2 linked regions of the Macaca mulatta genome follow. The protein of the gene in region 1 interacts with the protein of each later gene in a pairwise test. Links are inferred from orthologs where the notes say so. Each region holds a gene or a part of one and is shown in the gene's direction. Other genes may lie near its edges.

The links. The genes of interacting proteins can lie anywhere in the genome.
Region 2: the proteins of EIF4A3 (region 1) and CCDC174 interact in binary tests that used the Homo sapiens proteins (3 or more experiments, as listed by UniProt). The two-hybrid records come from large-scale screens. The link is inferred for Macaca mulatta from reciprocal best matches to the Homo sapiens genes EIF4A3 and CCDC174.

What each region holds. Positions count from the first base shown.
Region 1 is NC_133421.1:89,823,606-89,827,560, reverse strand, and holds part of EIF4A3 (eukaryotic initiation factor 4A-III), read left to right. Parts: intron 1-1,843; coding exon 1,844-1,985; intron 1,986-2,740; coding exon 2,741-2,879; intron 2,880-3,516; coding exon 3,517-3,632; intron 3,633-3,955. UniProt on the Homo sapiens protein: ATP-dependent RNA helicase. Involved in pre-mRNA splicing as component of the spliceosome. Core component of the splicing-dependent multiprotein exon junction complex (EJC) deposited at splice junctions on mRNAs.
Region 2 is NC_133407.1:153,457,492-153,463,040, forward strand, and holds the start of CCDC174 (coiled-coil domain-containing protein 174), read left to right. Parts: upstream 1-1,854; 5' UTR 1,855-1,939; coding exon 1,940-1,981; intron 1,982-4,564; coding exon 4,565-4,669; intron 4,670-5,549. UniProt on the Homo sapiens protein: Probably involved in neuronal development.

The sequences.
Region 1 (3,955 bases):
TGCACTCCTGTCTCCTGCTTGGTGGGCAGGAAAAGCCCCATTCCCCAGTCACTCACAGACGTCATCTCCTGTGTTGAGGATTGTGTTGGTGTGAGAGCAGAGGAAAAACCTAATTTGGGGGTTTTTCCTAAAACAATATGTTTCCAGACTTTCTGTACATAACTGTAGTTAATAGATGTGGAATCACGTGTATTCGGTTTGATAATCTGCTTTTTAAAAAATGCATCTGTCCATGATAAGTGTTCTGTGGCCTGTTTAATGGCAATAAGGTATTCTGTTGGAGGGATGTTCCATAATATATTTCTTGGTTGTGTAGGCTATTTCATTCTTTAAGATAAATTGGAGGGTGGGCACAGTGGCTCACACCTGTAATCCCAGCACTTTGGGAGGCCGAGGTGGGAGGATCACCTGAGGTCAGGAGTTCAAGACCAGCCTGGGCAACATGACGAAATTCCGTCTCTATTAAAAATACAAAAATAAGCCAGGTGTACGTGGTGGTGGGTAGTAATGTGTGCCCATAATCCCAGCTACCCGGAAGACTGAGCCAGGAGAATTGCTGGAACCCGGGAGGTGGAGGTGCAGTGAGCCAAGATCGCCCCACTGCACTGCAGCCTGGGCAATAGAGCAAGACTCTATCTCAAAAAAAAAAAAAAACACACACCCACATGCACACAAAGATAAATTGGTAGGATTCGGATGTACACTTTCTTGGATTTTCATAGGTGTTTTGAAGTGAGGACCTCTAGGTGATAGCAATTCTTCTCTTAGAATAGTGATTGGGAAATGCATGGTGATGTGTCACCTCGAATTCACTGTGAGGGTCTGTGGCAGGCCCCCCAGGGTCTTCATAAGGGTATCAGGTGGGTGGTGAGGAAGTGCTTTGTTCTCAGCACTCACCAGCGGTACCCGTGGGCATCCTCTCAGCCACGTCTCGGGCCTCTGGTTCCAGCAGTTTTTTGGGGGGCCTGTGCTCTGAGCACCTCACATCCCTCCCCTCCTCCTTCTGGGGCCCTTTATTGGACCCCCTGCTCCTCGTTGAGGTTAAAGGTTCGGTGACCACACTCAGTTTCTGTGGTGGCTGAGGAAGCCCTGGGTTGTGGGTGGCTCTTTGTGCTTGTGGCACTTAGGGCAGAGGTCCTCACAGTGAGGGGCACAGGCCGGGAGCATCCTTGTCACCTGGGGACTTGTAGAAATGCAGATTCTCTGGCCGCATATGATTTATGGAGTCAGAGCCTCCAGTTCATTAACTGGCCCTGTGGTGAGGAGGCTGGGCCCCTGCCTGCTCCTGGCTCCCTTCTCCTTTGCCCAGCTCTGCCCAGGCCTGGCGGAGGGTGCATGTGTGCTGGCTCCCGTGTTGATTCCGCCTGTGCCATGTTAAATAATGTGAATAAGTGGGCAGCATTTTTCACTGGGAGATTTTCTGTAACAAGATGTCTGGGTTCTCTTTAAAATGTGGCAGGTCTGGGCCCAGTGGATGCCAATCTCACAGGACAGTGGCAGGTGGAAGTGAGTCGGGACTGCGCCGCAGGCATCTGAGATTGTGGGTGACTCAGGCCAGCCTCTCTATTGCTTTTTATTTGGCGTCTAGGACTCTCGGGGTGGGTTTCTTGATCCCTAGAGCACTTCAGATTGAAGAAGCACCAGAGGAAAACCAGATTCCCTCAACCAGATAACACTCGGGGGGGGGCGGGGAGTAGGGACGGAGAGAACGCGTGGATGTGGCCTGGTTCTGTAAAAGTGAGATCCTGTCAACCGTACCTTATCCCCACTCTGCCTCTCACCCAGTGGGAACGCTGGGCGTGCCGCCCTAAGCATCCCTCACCTGTCTTGCGCCCTGTCCCAGGTTTCAAAGAGCAGATCTATGACGTGTACAGGTACCTGCCTCCAGCCACACAGGTGGTGCTCATCAGTGCCACGCTGCCACACGAGATTCTGGAGATGACCAACAAGTTCATGACCGACCCAATCCGCATCTTGGTGAAACGGTAGGAGCCCCTCTAGTCGAGTTTACTAAAACACTGGGCCCCATTTATAAAGGATTTTATGTCGTAATTTCAAAAACTTTTTATAGCCAGGGTGTTGCTGTGTTGCTGAAGCTGGTGTCAGAATCTGGGCCTCAGGCTATCCTCCTGCCTGAGTGTAAAGGAATTTAAAGCATGCAAATTCTTTTAAAATTCCTGTTTTGAAAAACTGAATAGGCTGGGCTACATAGGGAGACCCTATCTCTACAAATAATAAAAGATTAGCCAGGTAGGGTGGCACATGCCTGTAGTCCCAGCTACTCAGGAGGCTGAGGTGGGAGGATTGCTTGAGGCCAGGAGGCTGAGGCTGCAGTGAGCTGTGATCGTGCCACTGCACTTCAGCCATGGCAACAGAGCAAGACCCTGTCTCAAACAAACAAAACAAAACAAAACAAAAAAACCCATCTTTTATAATACTCATTGTGGTTTGAACCAATAATTCTAAATTTAAAAATTAGATGACTGTATTTACTTACCAGTGTTTTGTTTAGAATCATATTCCACGTGGTGCACATTGTGAAATGTTCAGTAGGATACAGAATAGAGACCTGTGTGACGGAAGTGCTGACGGGATGGAGGATAGGGCTGGGGCGCTGGGTCTGCACCAGATACCACGGTGTGACCTTCTCCACCGGGGTCTCCCTGCATCCTGGCTTGGCCCGCCCTCAAGTCCTAGCTGGAAGAATGAGGATGTAACAGGATTTGTCTTTGTCCTTCAGTGATGAATTGACTCTGGAAGGCATCAAGCAATTTTTTGTGGCAGTGGAGAGGGAAGAGTGGAAATTTGACACTCTGTGTGACCTCTACGACACACTGACCATCACTCAGGCGGTCATCTTCTGCAACACCAAAAGAAAGGTAAGAGGTACTGCATGGCCTCCATGTGCTTGAAGGGGAATTGCAGATTGAGTCTCTGAATGACTTAAATCAAGATTTTTCAGTGAAGGGCCAGTTTGTCCATATTTTAAGCTTTCGGGGTATGTGGTCTCTTGCAAAAGCAGCTGTAGACAATATGCAAATGGTCAGATATGGCTGTGACCATTAAAACTTTATTTACAGAACAGCGATGCCAGCCACCCTGAAAGATTCAGATTTCGTTGAAGGTGGAACCCAGGCTTGAGTAGTTTTAGATCCCCAGGTGATGATAATGTGGAGGCAGACCTGAGGACTGTCGGCCACTTTCCTGAGAAAGGAAAGGAATTGGGCTACATTCTGACAAGACTGGAATTCAAATTTCAAATGAGAATGAGCACACCTGGCCCCCTCCCCCATAGAGTCATTATGTGGAGAAAATGAAGTAAGAGGGTTTTGTGAGTGCACCCCAACATTTTCTGGGAAAAAGTTTGTGCATCCAGTTAGGATGATCCTGAGTTTTAAGAGCAGTTACTTTGAGAATATTGATACTGGTTCTGCAAATGATGGGGGTAAAATCCCGAATGCACATCTCTGGTTTGGTGTACGAACTTGCAGTAGCATCTGCTGATTGGATTTGTAGGTGGACTGGCTGACAGAAAAAATGAGAGAAGCCAACTTCACTGTGTCCTCAATGCACGGAGACATGCCCCAGAAAGAGCGGGAGTCCATCATGAAGGAGTTCCGGTCGGGCGCCAGGTGGGTCCGCTGTGCTGTGGCTCTGCCGGTCAGGGTTTGCTAGACTGTGTGCTAAGCACTTCATATGCACTGCCTGAGGCAGGCCCCAGAGCTGGGGAGATGACGAGCTCCTGCTCTGAAAGCTGAGGCCCTGGGTGAGCAGAAAACCTTCCAGTTAATGAGACGTTCGCTGTGTTCCTGTAATACTTCGGTTGAGGTGATAATGATCCTTAACTAGCCAGGTTGGCACTTTGGTTACAAGTGTGTGTCTTCTTTCCAGTAAGTACGGGTTTTCTGTTCATCGTTTCAATTAGTTTAATTCCACAGTGGTCAGGTATCTTCTC
Region 2 (5,549 bases), on another chromosome or scaffold:
ACATGTACTAAATGCTGCTGTTACAATCATTACGATCACTTTCGCCTTGCTGCTGTAACAAATTGCCACAAGTTTGGTGGCTTAAAACAATTCTTGTAGAATTCTGAAGTCAGAAGTTTGAGATGAGTGTTCAAGACTAAAATCACCGTGTCAGCAATGCTGCATTCCTTCTGCAGACTGGAGGAGCGCCCATTTATCTGCTTTTTCTAGGGCCTCCTGCATACCTAGGCATGGGGTCCCACTCTCCCTCTTCAAAGCATCTCTGATCTCTTTCTGACTCTGGCCATCCTGTCTACCCCTTATAAGGATGATTCGATGATAGGGGACCCACCTGCACAATCCAGGCTAGCTCCCCATCTCAATAGCTTTAATTTCATCATCTCTGCCAATTCCCTTTTGCTATATAAAGGTCACCATATATCCAGATTCTGGGTATTCGAAGGTAGACATCTAGGAGTGGGGGTAAGGGTGATTAGTCTGTCTACCATAATCATTAACATGTTTATCAAGACTAGCTCATTTAACTCATCTAATCTTCACTAAGACCCATGAGGTAAATGAAATTATATCCCCTTTGGAAACTAAGGCACAGGGAAGTTAAGTAACTTGCCCAAGGTTACACAGGCAGTAAGCAGTGAAGCAGCGATTCCAACCCAGAAAGCCAGCTTTAGAGTTCACTTTTTTTTTTTTTTTTTTTGAGACCCAGTCTTGCTTTGTGCCCAGGCTGGAGTGCAATGGCATCATCTTGACTCACTGCAACCTCCAACTCACGGGTTCAAGCGATTCTTCTGCCTCAGCCTTCTGAGTAGCTGGGAATACAGGTGGGCACCACCACACCCAGCTAATTTTTTTTTTTTTTTTTTTTTTCAGTAGAGACAGGGTTTCACCATGTTGGTCAGGCTGGTCTCAAACTCCTGACCTCCTGATTCACCCGCCTCGGCCTCCCAAAGTTCTGGGGTTACAGGCGTGAGCCACCGCGCCCGGCCGAGGAGTTCACTTTCTTTTTTTTTTTTTTTTTTTTTTTTTTTTGAGACGGAGTCTTGCTTTGTCACCCAGGCTAGAGTGCAGTGGCCAGATCTCAGCTCACTGCAAGCTCCGCCTCCCAGGTTCACGCCATTCTCCTGGCTCAGCCTCCCGCGTAGCTGGGACTACAGGCGCCCGCCACCTCGCCCGGCTAGTTTTTTGTATGTTTTAGTAGAGACGGCGTTTCACCATGTTAGCCAGGATGGTCTCGATCTCCTGACCTCGTGATCCGCCCGTCTCGGCCTCCCAAAGTGCTGGGATTACAGGCTTGAGCCACCGCGCCCGGCCTGAGTTCACTTTCTTAAGAGCTGAAATAATGTAAAGTGGCACATAATAAGCACTATATTAATGTTAGCTATTATGCTTGTTATTTCTGCTAAGATTAATATAATAATCCTTATCTCGTACGCTCTTCTAAGAACCAACTATTTAACGTGTGAAAAGTGCCAGGCAGCAGGTCGTCGAATTGTAGTTAGATTCTTCCGGTCCTCCCAATCCACCTTTCCCGAGACGCTCGAGTTCACTCACTCAAGCGTCAGCCTTACCCAAGACGGCGTTATCTTTGTCCCCAACCCCACATCCGCCCCACCCAATATGGCGTCCATCACAATCAAAAGCTTTTTCGGCCCTTCTCAAGATGGCGCCCACGCTAATCTTGTTACCTTCCGCCCTCAAGATGACCTTAGCAGTTAGCGTCAACCTCCGCACTCTCTGACCTTTCCAAAATGATGGCGAACGTAATACGCACCACACTTTGACCTTCTCAAGATGGCGTTGAGCTGACAAACTCGCGTCGCAAACTCACGCAAACTCAGTGTCGTTATCGAAGACACTTCCGGTTGCGACGGAGGTAGGTTTACGAGGCCTGCTTCGGGTGCGAAGGGTTGCTCTTGGGCCGGGTCACTGCGGCACGACCATGGACCGTAGGAAAAAACCTTTGGACGTCACGGCCTCCTCGGTGAGTGAGGGTATGAGGTAACTCCATGGGCTCCGGGTTCACCCTATCTCCATCAGACAAGAATGTCGACCTAGCTTGTTTCTTCAGTCGGGGACCCAGAGATCTGACCTCTCCCCTCAAACAGGAATCCCCGACCTGGATTTTCTTCTCCAACGGGGATCCGGTTCAGTTTTCTTACAGGATCCTGAACTGGGCTTCTCTTCTCTGACACGCGCCCGAACCAGAACCCTCAGACACGGACCTGAACCTGGTGTCCCGTGGGTTAGGAATCTCCCTACCTCCCTCTGCCCTGCCCGCAAGGACCTGCACCTCGCCAGCCTTCTCCCTTACAGTCGGGAGGAACCGTAGCTTCTTTTTGCTATGCAGACATATCCTCTTCCTGGTTTCTCCTCCATTCAGGGACCCCCAAAGTCCTCCCAGAACTTTAGAGTGTGACATATTCCACAGGAGCCGAAAGTGCCCAGCGTTCCCCACCTGGAACTAAATAGTTGTTAATGCAGCCATAGGGAACTGTGAAGTCTGAAAGGATGTAAGCAGTTTTATTAAATCAGCTACCCTAGAAAGAAAACGTGTTCTAAGTACACATTTTGTGCCAGCACTTTTATATACACTCTCACTAATCCTCCCAATGGCTTTAGGAGGTAGGTGCTATTAATATCTCCGTTTTATAGATGATGAAATTGAGGCCCAGAAAGATGAAGTAGCTTTCCCCAGCTTACATACAGAAATCTTAGTGATAGCCGGGCGTGGTGGCTCAGGCCTGTGCTCGCGCCTGTAATCCCAGTACTTTGGGAGGCCGAGGCGTGCGGATCACCTGAGGTCGGGAGTTCGAGACCAGCCTAACCAACATGGAGAAACCCTGTCTCTACTAAAAATAAAAACAATTAGCCGGGCGTGGTGGCGCATGCCTGTAATGCCAGCTACTCGGAAGGCTGAGGCAGGAGAATCGCTTGAACCTTGGAGGCGGAGGTTGCGGTGAGCCGAGATTGCACCATTGCACTCCAGCCTGGGCAACAAGAGCCAAACTCCGTCTGGGGCTGGGGCGGGAGAAGAAATCTTAGTGATAGACCCTTGCTCATTCAGTCTAGCTGACTCCAGAGCTGCTGCCTTTTCATCATCAGAGCAAATTGCCCAACCTTTGATTTAATCTTGAATTTACTTAAGTACACAAAGGGAGTATGAAGGAAAACATAGGTGTCCCAATATTTGAGTACTAGTTATTATTGGTAACTAGTATTGGTTAAAATTGGTACTAGTTATTATGTTTGTTTGAAGATCAGGAACCAAAAAGCTATAAATATTAAAGCCAACCTATACTGATAGGCTAAAATTAGCAATAATTGTAATAAGAATGCTATTTGAGAATTTACAATTTTTTGAGCATCTTTTAAAGTCAAAGGCCATTGTAGACTAGGAAGATATGTGGCTGGAAAATTTGGTGTGGTTATGTAAGCTGAGAAGAAAAAGAAGTTTTTCATTTGTTTTTAAGAATTTACAGTATTAGGGTCTGCAGTGAAACTGCCCTTTGCATTTTTAAATGATTACCTTTTAAATCAATTTCTTCCAAAATGGAAATTGAACTCAGCCATTTTTATTTTCCTTAACAAGTAAAGTGATTTTTTAAGTATCTGATGGTTAAGTCAGTGATTAAGTATGTGATTTACAAATGCCCATCCATATAAGCAGCTGTACCTGGACCCTTAAAAAGGGAACTGTTGTTTTATCTTTTGCAGAGTAGGCAGGGGTGACAACTGTAGCTGAGGGAAAGGCACTAATACTCACCCAACTGCCCCACTCCCTATGCCTTGGCCTTCTTTCCTCTTCTTGAACCGTGAGATTCAGCCAAACTTATGGTTTTTGAAATGGATTAAGTCAGACGTGGAGCTGTTACAATTCACCCAGTCTATTTGATTTCTAGCTGTTGAAATAATGTGTCTTTAAAGGCTCTGCTCAAAGCTTTCTCTGATCACTCTGCTCGGAAGGAAATGCTCCCTTATCTGAACTTGTGTGCTACTTTCTTCCATTCTAGAGTCATTTGTTACATTTTGCTAGTATTATAAATTACTTTCCTTGTTACATTGTAGGCTCTTTGAGGTAGAGAGTATGTCTAATTCATGTTTATGTTCTGCTCTTCAGTGTTAAGTACCATGCACAAACTGGATGCTCAGATAGTTTTGGAATAACGGCATTTCCCTGTAGAAATAATAAGTAGTGATGATTAAATGAGTGCAGTGCTAGTCACAGAGAAGGTGCTTAATAACGCAAGTTTAATCTGAAACTAAAAGATGCAGACTTCATTAATTTTATTTTGCTTTATCACTTTCTCCTTGACTAAGGAAAGCCTCAGGTGTTGAAAGTTAGAGTAAAAATGCATTTGCAGCAGAGGTAGAATGAAACATGATTTAGCTTAATTTGTGTACTGGATTCTACATTTAAACATTAAGTTATTTAAACCTTTAGTTTTTTAGCCATATTTGTCCATTTAGCAGAACTTGAAATATTCCTTTGGAAATTAAAATAATTTAGCAATCCAGTCACCTGCAAAAATTTAATATTTTTGTTTACTTACTGCTTTTATTCTAGTTGGTAGATCTTAAGGCCGAACTCTTCCGAAAGCAAGAAGAATTCAAACAAGAAAAACTTCTAAAAGATTCTGGAGTTTTTGGAAAACCAAAAACAACTAACAAGGTAAAAAATAAGATCTGATGATCTCCATTGGTTCCAAACATGAGAGAATTATACCATATTTAAGTGTTTTAAGGTTGTCAGTGGTATCTGTACACATAAATGTTGAGGAAAAAATCTCTATCTTGTGTTTAACATTTGCATGAAATGTTATTAAAATAGAAATTAGTAAGATTATATAAAAGTGCATAGTAATGTGGTAATTCTTTAGCACTTCTTTTGGAAAAATGTGGATTGTTTACATTTCATAAACAGATGGAAGGTTATCTGGTTCTATAGGTGTTAGGTATCCAAATAGAGATAAACAATTAGATAATATAGGAATATAGCAGAAAATATCAGGGTGAATAAGAGCTGTGAATGATTTTTCCAGTTTTATAGGTAATAGTGTCTACTATTTGTATTACTAATTCTCTGTAATATGTACATTTTCATTAGTCTTGATTTAGGTTGTAATCATTAAGGAGATAAAAGATAGTAGGAAGTGATTCTGCACTCAAGAAGCCCTTTAGGCTGGGCGTGGTGGCCCACGCCTCTAATCCCATCACTTTGGAAGGCCGAGGCAGGCAGATCACTTGACCCCAGGAGTTCAAGACCAGCCTGAGCAACATGGCAAAACCCTATCTCTGCAAAAAAAAAAAAATTAGTCAGGCATGGTGGTGCGCATCTGTATTCCCAGCTACTGGGGAAGCTGAAGTGGGGGGATCACTTGAGCTCAGGATGTTGAGGCTGCAGTGAGCCGAGATCGCACCACCACACTCGAGCCTGGGTGACAGAGTGAGATCCGGTCTCAAAATAAATAAATAAATAAATAAGTTATTTATGTAATTGAGGGCTCTTTTTTTAGCTCCTGCTTGCCACATATAATCAGTTTCTTTGTAGG